Macaca fascicularis: one gene and its partner. The protein of the gene in region 2 binds, or shares a complex with, the protein of the main gene of each other region. Links are inferred from orthologs where the notes say so. Each region holds a gene or a part of one and is shown on either strand. Other genes may lie near its edges.

What was found.
Region 1: the proteins of TSEN34 (region 2) and TSEN15 are in contact, whole or in part, in a crystal structure (PDB 6Z9U), measured with the Homo sapiens proteins. The link is inferred for Macaca fascicularis from reciprocal best matches to the Homo sapiens genes TSEN34 and TSEN15. Residues at the interface, in NP_001070914.1 of Homo sapiens: Pro251, Leu252, Arg253, Phe254, His255, Ala256, His257, Tyr258, Pro265, Glu266, Asp267, Thr268, Ile269, Pro270, Leu271, Gln272, Leu274, Ser283, Val284, Arg285, Lys286, Thr287, Leu289, Leu290, Cys291, Ser292, Gln294, Val300, Tyr301, Thr302; in NP_443197.1 of Homo sapiens: Leu70, Lys74, Trp76, Thr108, Pro109, Ile110, Thr111, Ala112, Ser113, Leu114, Ser115, His116, Asn117, Ile119, Arg120, Leu123, Leu141, Ile143, Val151, Tyr152, Tyr153, Lys154, Leu155, Thr156, Asp157, Gly158, Phe159, Met160, Leu161, Pro162.

The regions. Positions count from the first base shown.
Region 1 is NC_088375.1:41,596,974-41,601,244, reverse strand, and holds the start of TSEN15 (tRNA-splicing endonuclease subunit Sen15), read right to left. Parts: upstream 3,017-4,271; 5' UTR 2,983-3,016; coding exon 2,848-2,982; intron 351-2,847; coding exon 269-350; intron 1-268. UniProt on the Homo sapiens protein: Non-catalytic subunit of the tRNA-splicing endonuclease complex, a complex responsible for identification and cleavage of the splice sites in pre-tRNA. It cleaves pre-tRNA at the 5' and 3' splice sites to release the intron.
Region 2 is NC_088393.1:61,997,757-62,002,032, reverse strand, and holds the start of TSEN34 (tRNA-splicing endonuclease subunit Sen34), read right to left. Parts: upstream 2,967-4,276; 5' UTR 2,853-2,966; coding exon 2,848-2,852; exon of another isoform or gene 2,178-2,847; intron 1,873-2,177; coding exon 1,626-1,872; intron 1,319-1,625; coding exon 1,075-1,318; intron 924-1,074; coding exon 666-923; intron 1-665. UniProt on the Homo sapiens protein: Constitutes one of the two catalytic subunit of the tRNA-splicing endonuclease complex, a complex responsible for identification and cleavage of the splice sites in pre-tRNA. It cleaves pre-tRNA at the 5'- and 3'-splice sites to release the intron.

The DNA of each region.
Region 1 (4,271 bases), on a different chromosome or scaffold from region 2:
AATGTTTATTAAATACAAAAGATAAAAACTCCAAACTTCTACCTAATACTCAGCTGAGCAAATATCACTCATAACACTACCTCCTATCTTTGCTTTTCTAATAGCTTCTGTTACTCAATAATTCCCAATGTAAATAAATAAATTGCAAAATTAACAGCAAATGCATAAAAGATTGCTTATTATAATGTTAAGAATGCTATATCCCAATCCAACCCCCCAAATCCCTACCACAGTCCCAATAACAAAACAATATAAACAAACAACTTACTTTCCATGAGGTCCAGGTAAACCAAGAATGCTATATAAACTTGAGTGGCATCTCCTATATCTAATTCCATCATTTCTAAATACTGAAAATAAAATATAATTGTCAAATTGAGAAGGAAAAATTATTTAATATTTTCTTTCAATCAACAAGTAGTCATTAAGTATATATAATCTATAAAATTCTTCTAGGTATAGTGGAAGTTAAAATGCAATATAAGGTCTTAGAGATCGCTGTCTCTAAAGAACTTGCAACTGTTAAATACATGCACACTTAAAATTGTTAGGCAAATAACAATATATGACTGTAAGTGATTAAAAACCAGGTAAACGGAATAAAAAACATGACACAGCAGGTCAGAAGAGCTCTACTCAGAGGGACTGGTGAAAGATTTATAGCAGAGGTGGGATGGGATACAAGTTAAGCACTGAAGAACATTATGATTTAAGTAAATGGAGACGTAGAGTAATAGGGCAGGTAATCACACAAAGGTGGGATTAAGCCACACACATTCAAGGGCCTGTAAAGAAACCTATCTGCCAGCAATAGAGAAACCTTTTTAATAAAATTTGTGTCGGGACATGTTGGTGGGTACTGTGTATTTCCCTAGCCTCTTATTTGCATATGGAGAGAATCTGCTAGAGTATCAGTCCTAACCTCTCTACCCACTCTTTCTTACTTTAAGAGTAGGGAATTATTTCATCATTAGATTTTTTAAAAGGGATTGACAAGGAACTAGAGAAAGCTGCTTCTTTCAGACTACTGGTCAGCATAAGGGGAACACTTTCCAGGGGTCTACACCTGCAGGAGAATTCTGAGGCTGCCCAGCTATGCCAGTGACTAGGTGGATATGCAGGGCTAATGCTGAGTTGAATTATTAGCAGACCTGCATGGGGACAGGTCTAAAGTCACATTCTCCCATCAGCTTCCGTGTAACTGGACGATACAGTTACAGGAGGATAAGGGTTATTAGTTGTCTACTTCAAACATGTTTTGAAAATAACACCCAAAACAATTTTGAGCCAGGTTACAAGGCCTTGGTGGTCAAGCTATACGTGTGATTTTATCAGTATGGAAACACTGAGGATTTCTAAGCAGGAGAATAATAAAATAAAAGTGTGTTAGAGGATAATAAGTCTGATACCATTTTACTGGATGAACCTACATAATTTTCAAATTAAGAGAAAGGTGAAATTGGAAAAACAAACAGCCCCTATTGCTTTATTACTTCTTTTCTTTTTCTTCTAAAAATTAATCTGATCCTTCAAGAAGAGAAATCAAAAGGGGAGATTTGATGGTCAGGGTGCACACAGCCATTAACTTGAAAAAGAAAACAATCTACAAGTATATAAACCGAATAACAACACCAAATCTAGATAAGGTTTTAAAAAGTTGTTACTGGTGTTTCATTTATTAAGTACTTATATAGTGCTCTCTGTATGTTGAATGTCTTACAAATATTAATTAATTTAATCCTGTAACAAACCTATAAGTATGGACTATTAATATCCCCATTTTTCAGGTGAGGAAACTAAGGCATAATGAGATCAAGCAATTTGTGTCAAATTACAAGGTTGATACGTGACAGAATCAGGATTTAAACTGAGTCTGATTTTGAGTTCACGCTCCTAACCAATATGCTGCCTCTGCATGTTATTGTTTCCCTAAAAGGGCACTAAATAATATTTCCATGCTATTGTTTCTTTTTCTCACCTTTTGGGAGGATGAAGGGGACAGAGTAGGAAGATAAAATTAAGCAAGAGAAGCTGAAAAAGGTTAACTCTTCAAACTTACACCTTTAAATTTTTTCTTGGCTGCTTTTAGATGATTACGAATTATTGCTCTCTAGCAGAAGAGCGCAATTCTGTTAAAGTACCGTACAGACCAGTTTTTGAGATTCTTACAAAACCCACATCTCCATTCACTGCCTGTTCACTGCTTGGAACCTTACTGGTACAAGGCAGTAATGTCTCAAGCAGAAGCAAGCAGGGGACTATCTTTATCTCGCTTGCTGCTAATGTAGAAAAAGACACGCAAAATGTGAGTAGCTCTGCATTGAGCAAGAACCTATTCAAACTTTCGAAGAAATCTGAAATACTAAGAATCTGCACCTTTGCAAAATAAAGATGCACTCTGGGCCCAAGGCTAAGTGTAAACGTGACTGTGCCTAAATCTTTATCATTATGGACCCGCAGACCTTACCCATCGCCCACAAATTGTCTTGCATGGTTACTGTGAGGATTAAATAAATTTATCCCCCAAAGGGGATTTACCTAGACAGCAAAACCTGTGGAGCGCTTATTAGGGATCTCCGGCTTGAGGGGGGCGGAGTTACTGTCTGGCTCTCAGTTCCAGAATGGCTTTGGCTGGGGGGTTGGGAAAGTGTCGGGGGATAGTGCAACTTGTTTAAACAAACAAAACCGATGCTGCCTGAGGCTGGCAGTTGTGCACACCGGTCCCCCTCGGTAAGGGGGGCGCGCGTCCTCAGCTCTCCCGCTGAGGGAGAAAGAAAGACAGCTGCCTGGGAGTTCTGCCTGGGTTAGGGGCCTGGACGGCGCCCTGCTCCTCTCGCGCCTCCTGACCTTAGGGTGGGTGCCCATCCAGGCGTCCTCGGGGGCCCACGAGGGAGCTCCGCCGCCGTCGCCAAAGCCGCGAACGCCGCCCGGACCCAGGCCGCTGCAGCCGGGGATCGGCTCGGAATCGCCGCGCTCCTCCATGCCGGCCGGTGCGGCGCTCCCGTGGTGCACCACTACCCGCGCCCGGCCAGAAGCAGCGGCGCACGCGCCTGTGGGTTCCGCTTCCCCGAGGCTTGCAGCGGCCGCGCGAGAGGGCTCAGAAACTGGGAGGAAAGTTGCATCATCCCCTCCTTCTGACCAAGGTAGCTAGAACCTGCGCGAACGCTCTCTAGTTTCGCACTGCGTTTATTCAAATCTGAACAAATTCTAGCGTGAAAAATATTAAAGAGTAGCTTGTGCCCAGAAGCTCTTAATCCTCTTTAAGTCAGTGCTGCCGATGACTCTCTGAGAAAGTTGGGGGATACATACGTCCTCTTTGCCTTCAGCAGTGGGGTCCTGGTTTCTGATTGCTGGGAACGGGAAAAGCCTAACTCAGTGCCCTGACATAGAACTTTAAAGTAGAACCATAGTTTCAGGGTGGACCCACGTTTCAGGATTAGAGGAAACACGAGTTGCTGAATGAGTGTTCAGAAAGGTAGGATACAAACTAGCATAAGCATGTGATCTGGAAGCCAAGGATGAGTTTCAGACAGACAGAGTAGCACATTTTAAGTGTTTTTAAATTTACTGTGAGTGAAATGGGAAGCTATTGGAGGCTCCTGTCATATTTTCATAGGATCACTCAGACTGATATGTTAAGGATAGACTGGAGGGAGCAAGGACACAAACGGACTGGTTAGGAGGCGATCACATTGAACAGGACAAGGGTTACTCAAAATCCAAAGTCCCAGGCAGGACATAACTTCTGTTTTCAACCATGATAGACTAAAACCCTACTGGACCATCCTCCAGCAGAAAACAACTTGGACACAATGCAAAAAGCGGAATATACTAGAATGTGAACAGTGGACTCATAGGAAGGGCAAGCTTGCTTGAAGATGAGGAACTCCACTTCAACACAATACAAAAAGCTGAATATACTGGAATGTGAACAGCAGACTGGTAGGAAGGGCAAGCTTACTTGAAGATCAGGAACTCCACAAGAAAATTCCTTTCTCTTTGGCATTTAGCTTGTGGCAAAGTGCAGTCCAGAAGTCAGGCTCAGCAGTACCAAGTGTGCATGTATAAAACTTGTCAGTTATTCTTATCTGGGGAAGCAGAAAAGTGAAGACAGAAAATTTTGAATTCTGAAGAGATTAAGAAATCCCAAGGAAGGAGTCAGAGAGTGGATCCCCAAACTGTCAACCCACATCTCTGAGAGATCCTGAACCACCCAAAACAGAATCACAGCAGCTCAGTTAAAAACAAAAGATCTGAGCTGAGACCAGAGC
Region 2 (4,276 bases):
TCTAGACTTTTTTTTTTTTTTTTTGAGACGAAGTCTCGCTCTTGTTCCCCAGGCTGGAGTGCAATGGCACCATCTCAGCTCACTGCAACCTCTGCCCCCTGGGTTCAAGTGATTCTCCTGCCTCAGCCTCCTGAGTAGCTGGAAATACAGGCGCCTACCCACCACACCCAGCTAGTTTTAGTATTTTTAGTAGAGACGGGGTTTCACCATGTTGGCCAGGCTGGTCTCAAACTCCTGACCTCAGGTGATCCACCTGTCTCAGCCTCCCAAAGTGCTGGGATTACAGGCGTGAGCCATGGCGCCCAGCCTGATGTCTAACTACTTCTAAGCGAATCTTCTGGATCATAGTAAACATTTAATAAAAGTTGCTAAACTGCTTTCCCAATGAGTTCAGGAGCTCCAAAATGTTTCCTGTCCATCTATGAATTTCAGAGGCTAAGAGAAAGTGAGACAAAAAAAAAAAAATGCAGCTGGGCCTGTAATCCCAGCACTTTGGGAGGCCAAAGTGGGAGGACTGCTTGAGCCCAGGAAACGGGACCAGCCTGAGCAACAATAGAGACCCCATCTCTATTAAGACAAAAAAAAAAAAGAAAGAAAAAAAAACGCAGAATACATTGGGATCGTATGGAAAGGCACAGCAACCAGAGGCCCCAACCCAAACTCACCAGGATAGACCAGGAAGTCACCTCCGAACTTGCCAGCCGCACTGAGGAAGAACCCTCTCTCCCACAGATCTCTGTAAATGCTGTAGCGCAGCTCATGGGCAGGGCGGCCGGCGTGGGGCCAGTCTTTAGACTGGACACGCCAGTCCAGGGGCCTGGCCTTGACAGGTCGAGGCCTGGCAGTGGCCAGCTGGACAAGGAGAGCAGATCTGGGCAAGGGGGCTACCCCATTTGAGGGCTCTGCTTGGGAAGAGGAGGGACCTGGTGGGGAGTACAGAGAAGAGTTTGGTAAATCCAAGGGGCAAAGTCTTCTCACCCTCAGGGAGACCCAGGCACTGGATTCCCAGCTAAAATTTCCAAAAGATCTCTCCTCTCCTTCCCGTGGTTCGTGGACTCCACCTCCCATACTCACCGGCTTCCTCCTGCTCTCCCGAAGCCTGGCCATCACTGGTCTCGTTCTCTTTGGCAGCCTGGCTCGAGCCAGCCTCATGGCTCGAGCTGGCCCCTGAAGCCTGTTCTAGTTTCTGCTTCTTGGCAGCCTGGCCCTCCGTAATCTTCTCCAGGAGCTCCTGACGACGGGTCTCCCGGGCCTCAGCTGCCAAGGCGCTCTGCTCCTGGAAGCTCTCCTCTTGCTGGCGCTTGAAGGCTGTCAGGGCCTGAGAAGCACACGTCGCTGGAACCTCCAAGCTTACGGTCCCTTCGGAAGCCAGGAATCCTGACTCCCAGGCCCGGCTCCCACCGAACCCAGGGGTCCCGGCCCCGCCCCCTTATGATCCCACCAGGGATCCCGCCAAGGCGCTCTGCTCCTGGAAGCTCTCCTCTTGCTGGCGCTTGAAGGCTGTCAGGGCCTGAGAAGCACACGTCGCTGGAACCTCCAAGCTTACGGTCCCTTCGGAAACCAGGAATCCTGACTCCCAAGTCCCGCTCCCACCGAACCCAGACGTTCGAGCCCCGCCCCCTTACCAGGCTGTGGTGCTGAGGGTCTGGGCGCGGGGCGCTAACCAGAGTCACGGCGCCGATCTCGGCCAAGAGCCGCGCCTCTTCGGGCATCAGCAGCAGCGGGAGGCCCAGGCGCGAGTTCTGGCGGGGCCCGCGGGGCAGGGCGCCTACCGTGCGGCCCCCCACACCCAGGCGCTCCCGGAGGGCCTGCACCGCCTCGGCTCCCCACACCAGGGAGCGACCGTTCGCCACCTCCACCACTAGCATCCTCCTGCGGGAGCCGGGAAGCAAAGCAGTTACCGAAACGGCTGCGCGCCGCGGGCCACCGGAGCACAACCAAAGCCTCCGGGGTCTTGGCGAAGACCCGCCCCTAGTCCTCAGGGGGCGGGGCCTCGCTCAGCCGCCGTTCACCACCTGCTGGGCCGGAGCGCCAGGCCCCACCCCAGGGCGATCCCGCCAGGCCCCGCGGCCGCCGGAGACCGACCGGCAGCCCTCGCCCCTCGCCGCGTCCCCGGGGCCCTGCTCTACCCTTGTGACCCTGCAGTCGGCACCCGCTTTGTGCCCACACTGCCGTACCTACCATTGCGCCTTGGAGTCTCAAAAACAAACCTCCCCAAGCGCGGCGACACGCCCCCTTACAAAGGTCCATTTTGGCACCACCCTCTTGCAAAGTGGGCGTCCCCCTTCGGGTGCCCCCCTCAGGGGTCAGAAGCTCTCGAGGCTAAGGCACTGCCAAGGCCACACCCACTTCGGGACGCTCCGGCCTTGGCTCCTCCTCTTTCCGAACCACTGTGATTCGGCTTTCGGGTCTACAAGCGCTCAGACTCCAACAGTACAAAACCCTGCCCCCTTCAGAGCACAAGAATTGCGGCGGTCGGGCGTCCTTGGCGTCACCGAATCCGCAGCCCCGCCCCCTTCTCGAACGCGAGCAATTTGGCGTTCGGGTGTTCTCGGCTCGGCCGAATCCGTAGCCCCGCCTCCTGCCGGACGCCTGAGGTTCGGCGTTCGGGCGTCATCGGCTCCCGGCAGTCCCGCAGGCTGTGGCCCCGCCCCCTCCGAGCGCCAGCGCACCCCCGATGGGGAGTTCCCGCCCGACGACCGAACCCCATAGCCGAAAGCCCCGCCCCCTGGGCACCCGCCGTCCGCTCTCCCCTCGGGCGGGCTCACCCCACTTGGGAGCGCTCAGTCCGCCTCCTTGCTTCCCTTCAGAATGTCCCACGGTCCACCGACAGAACCAGCGAGTCACCTCATAAACACTAACTCGCAGTCGAGGCGGAGCCACCCACTACGCACCGCGCCACGCGCTCCTTCCTCCACCCGCTCTTGCCGACCCTCTCGTCAACTTCGTCATCCCGCCCCGTCAGCGCCGGGGGGAGTCAGGACCCGCCCCTCGCAGGCTCGAAGCCCCGCCCTCCTCCTGCGGTGACCACCTTGGCCCCGCCCCACCGAGCGCACCTCCCTCTGCCGCTTCCTCTCCTCAGCTTGGGAACTTGAGGCTCGTCACCCTGGCCCCGTGCCCTAGGCGCACGCCGGCCCTCGGGGTTCCGCCCCTTTGAGGGCAAGCCGCTTTCGCCCCGCCCCCTTGTAAATCCTTATCAGCATCTCGCGAACCTGTTGACTCCGCCTATCATCCTAGCGTCCCTTGTACCCAACTATCTACGAAGTAAACCGAAGCATATGGCCCCACCCACATCCGGCCGAGTCTGTGGTCCCGCCCACATCGGAACAGTGACACTAAGGACTCGACTATCTCCGAAGAAAGCCGAAACATGTGGCCCCGCCCACAGTAGCCCCAGCGCTCCGTTCTCGACTATCTCCGAAGTGAGCCGAAGTTTGTGGCCCCGCCTCCCGTGAACTCAAGCTCCCGATTGTGCCCGAAGGAACCCGAACGGAGACCGCGCCTCATCCCTCACGCCGAGCTCCAGACCCCGCCTCCTTTCCGGATCCCGTCTGTCTCCCTTCGGGTCCAAAGCTTTTGGCTCCTCCTTGTTCCGAGCCCGAAGCCCTGCCCCTTCACGTTCTCGGGGCTCGGAGCCCGGTGTGGACCTGGACTCGAGTCCCGTTGTCGACTCGCGCTCCAGTCGCCTGCTCTGGGGCTCCTTCCCTGCCCGCCCGGGACCCTGACCGTGGCCTCATCCCCGCCCCGATCCGCGCGGCCCAGCGGGCGCCCAGAAGGAGCAGGCGGCGCGGGGGCGCGCTGCGCGGGGGAGGCGTGGCCGGAGCCGCAGCGGCCCGCGGGCTGGGACTGCTCGGCCGCCTCCTGCCCGGCGAGCAGCTCAGGTGGGCCGGGGTGGCGGCGCCCAGTGGCAAGGCGAGGTTACACGGCTGCAGGGTCTCTGCAGGCTGGTGGGTGCGGGGCGGCCCCGGAGGCGCGTTAGAGCTCGGGGCTGGCGCAACCGCCTGTGGATCTGCCGGGGATTGGATCCGACCCACGCTGGGGTGCGCGGGACGGGTTGGGGCTGGGCCTGGGCCTGGGGAGGGAAGGGTGTCCGATCCCCGGGTTCTCCGTAGGAGAGGGGTCTGGAACTCCGAAGGAGGTGAGGCTGGAGGCCCGGGCTCCTCTGAGTGCTCGCGAAGGACAAGGGCTGGGGGGTCCGGATATCTGGTTTCACAAGGGCTGGGGGATGGGGGATCCAAAGAGGGGGTCTGGGTTCCTGGATCCTCGCTGGAAGAGG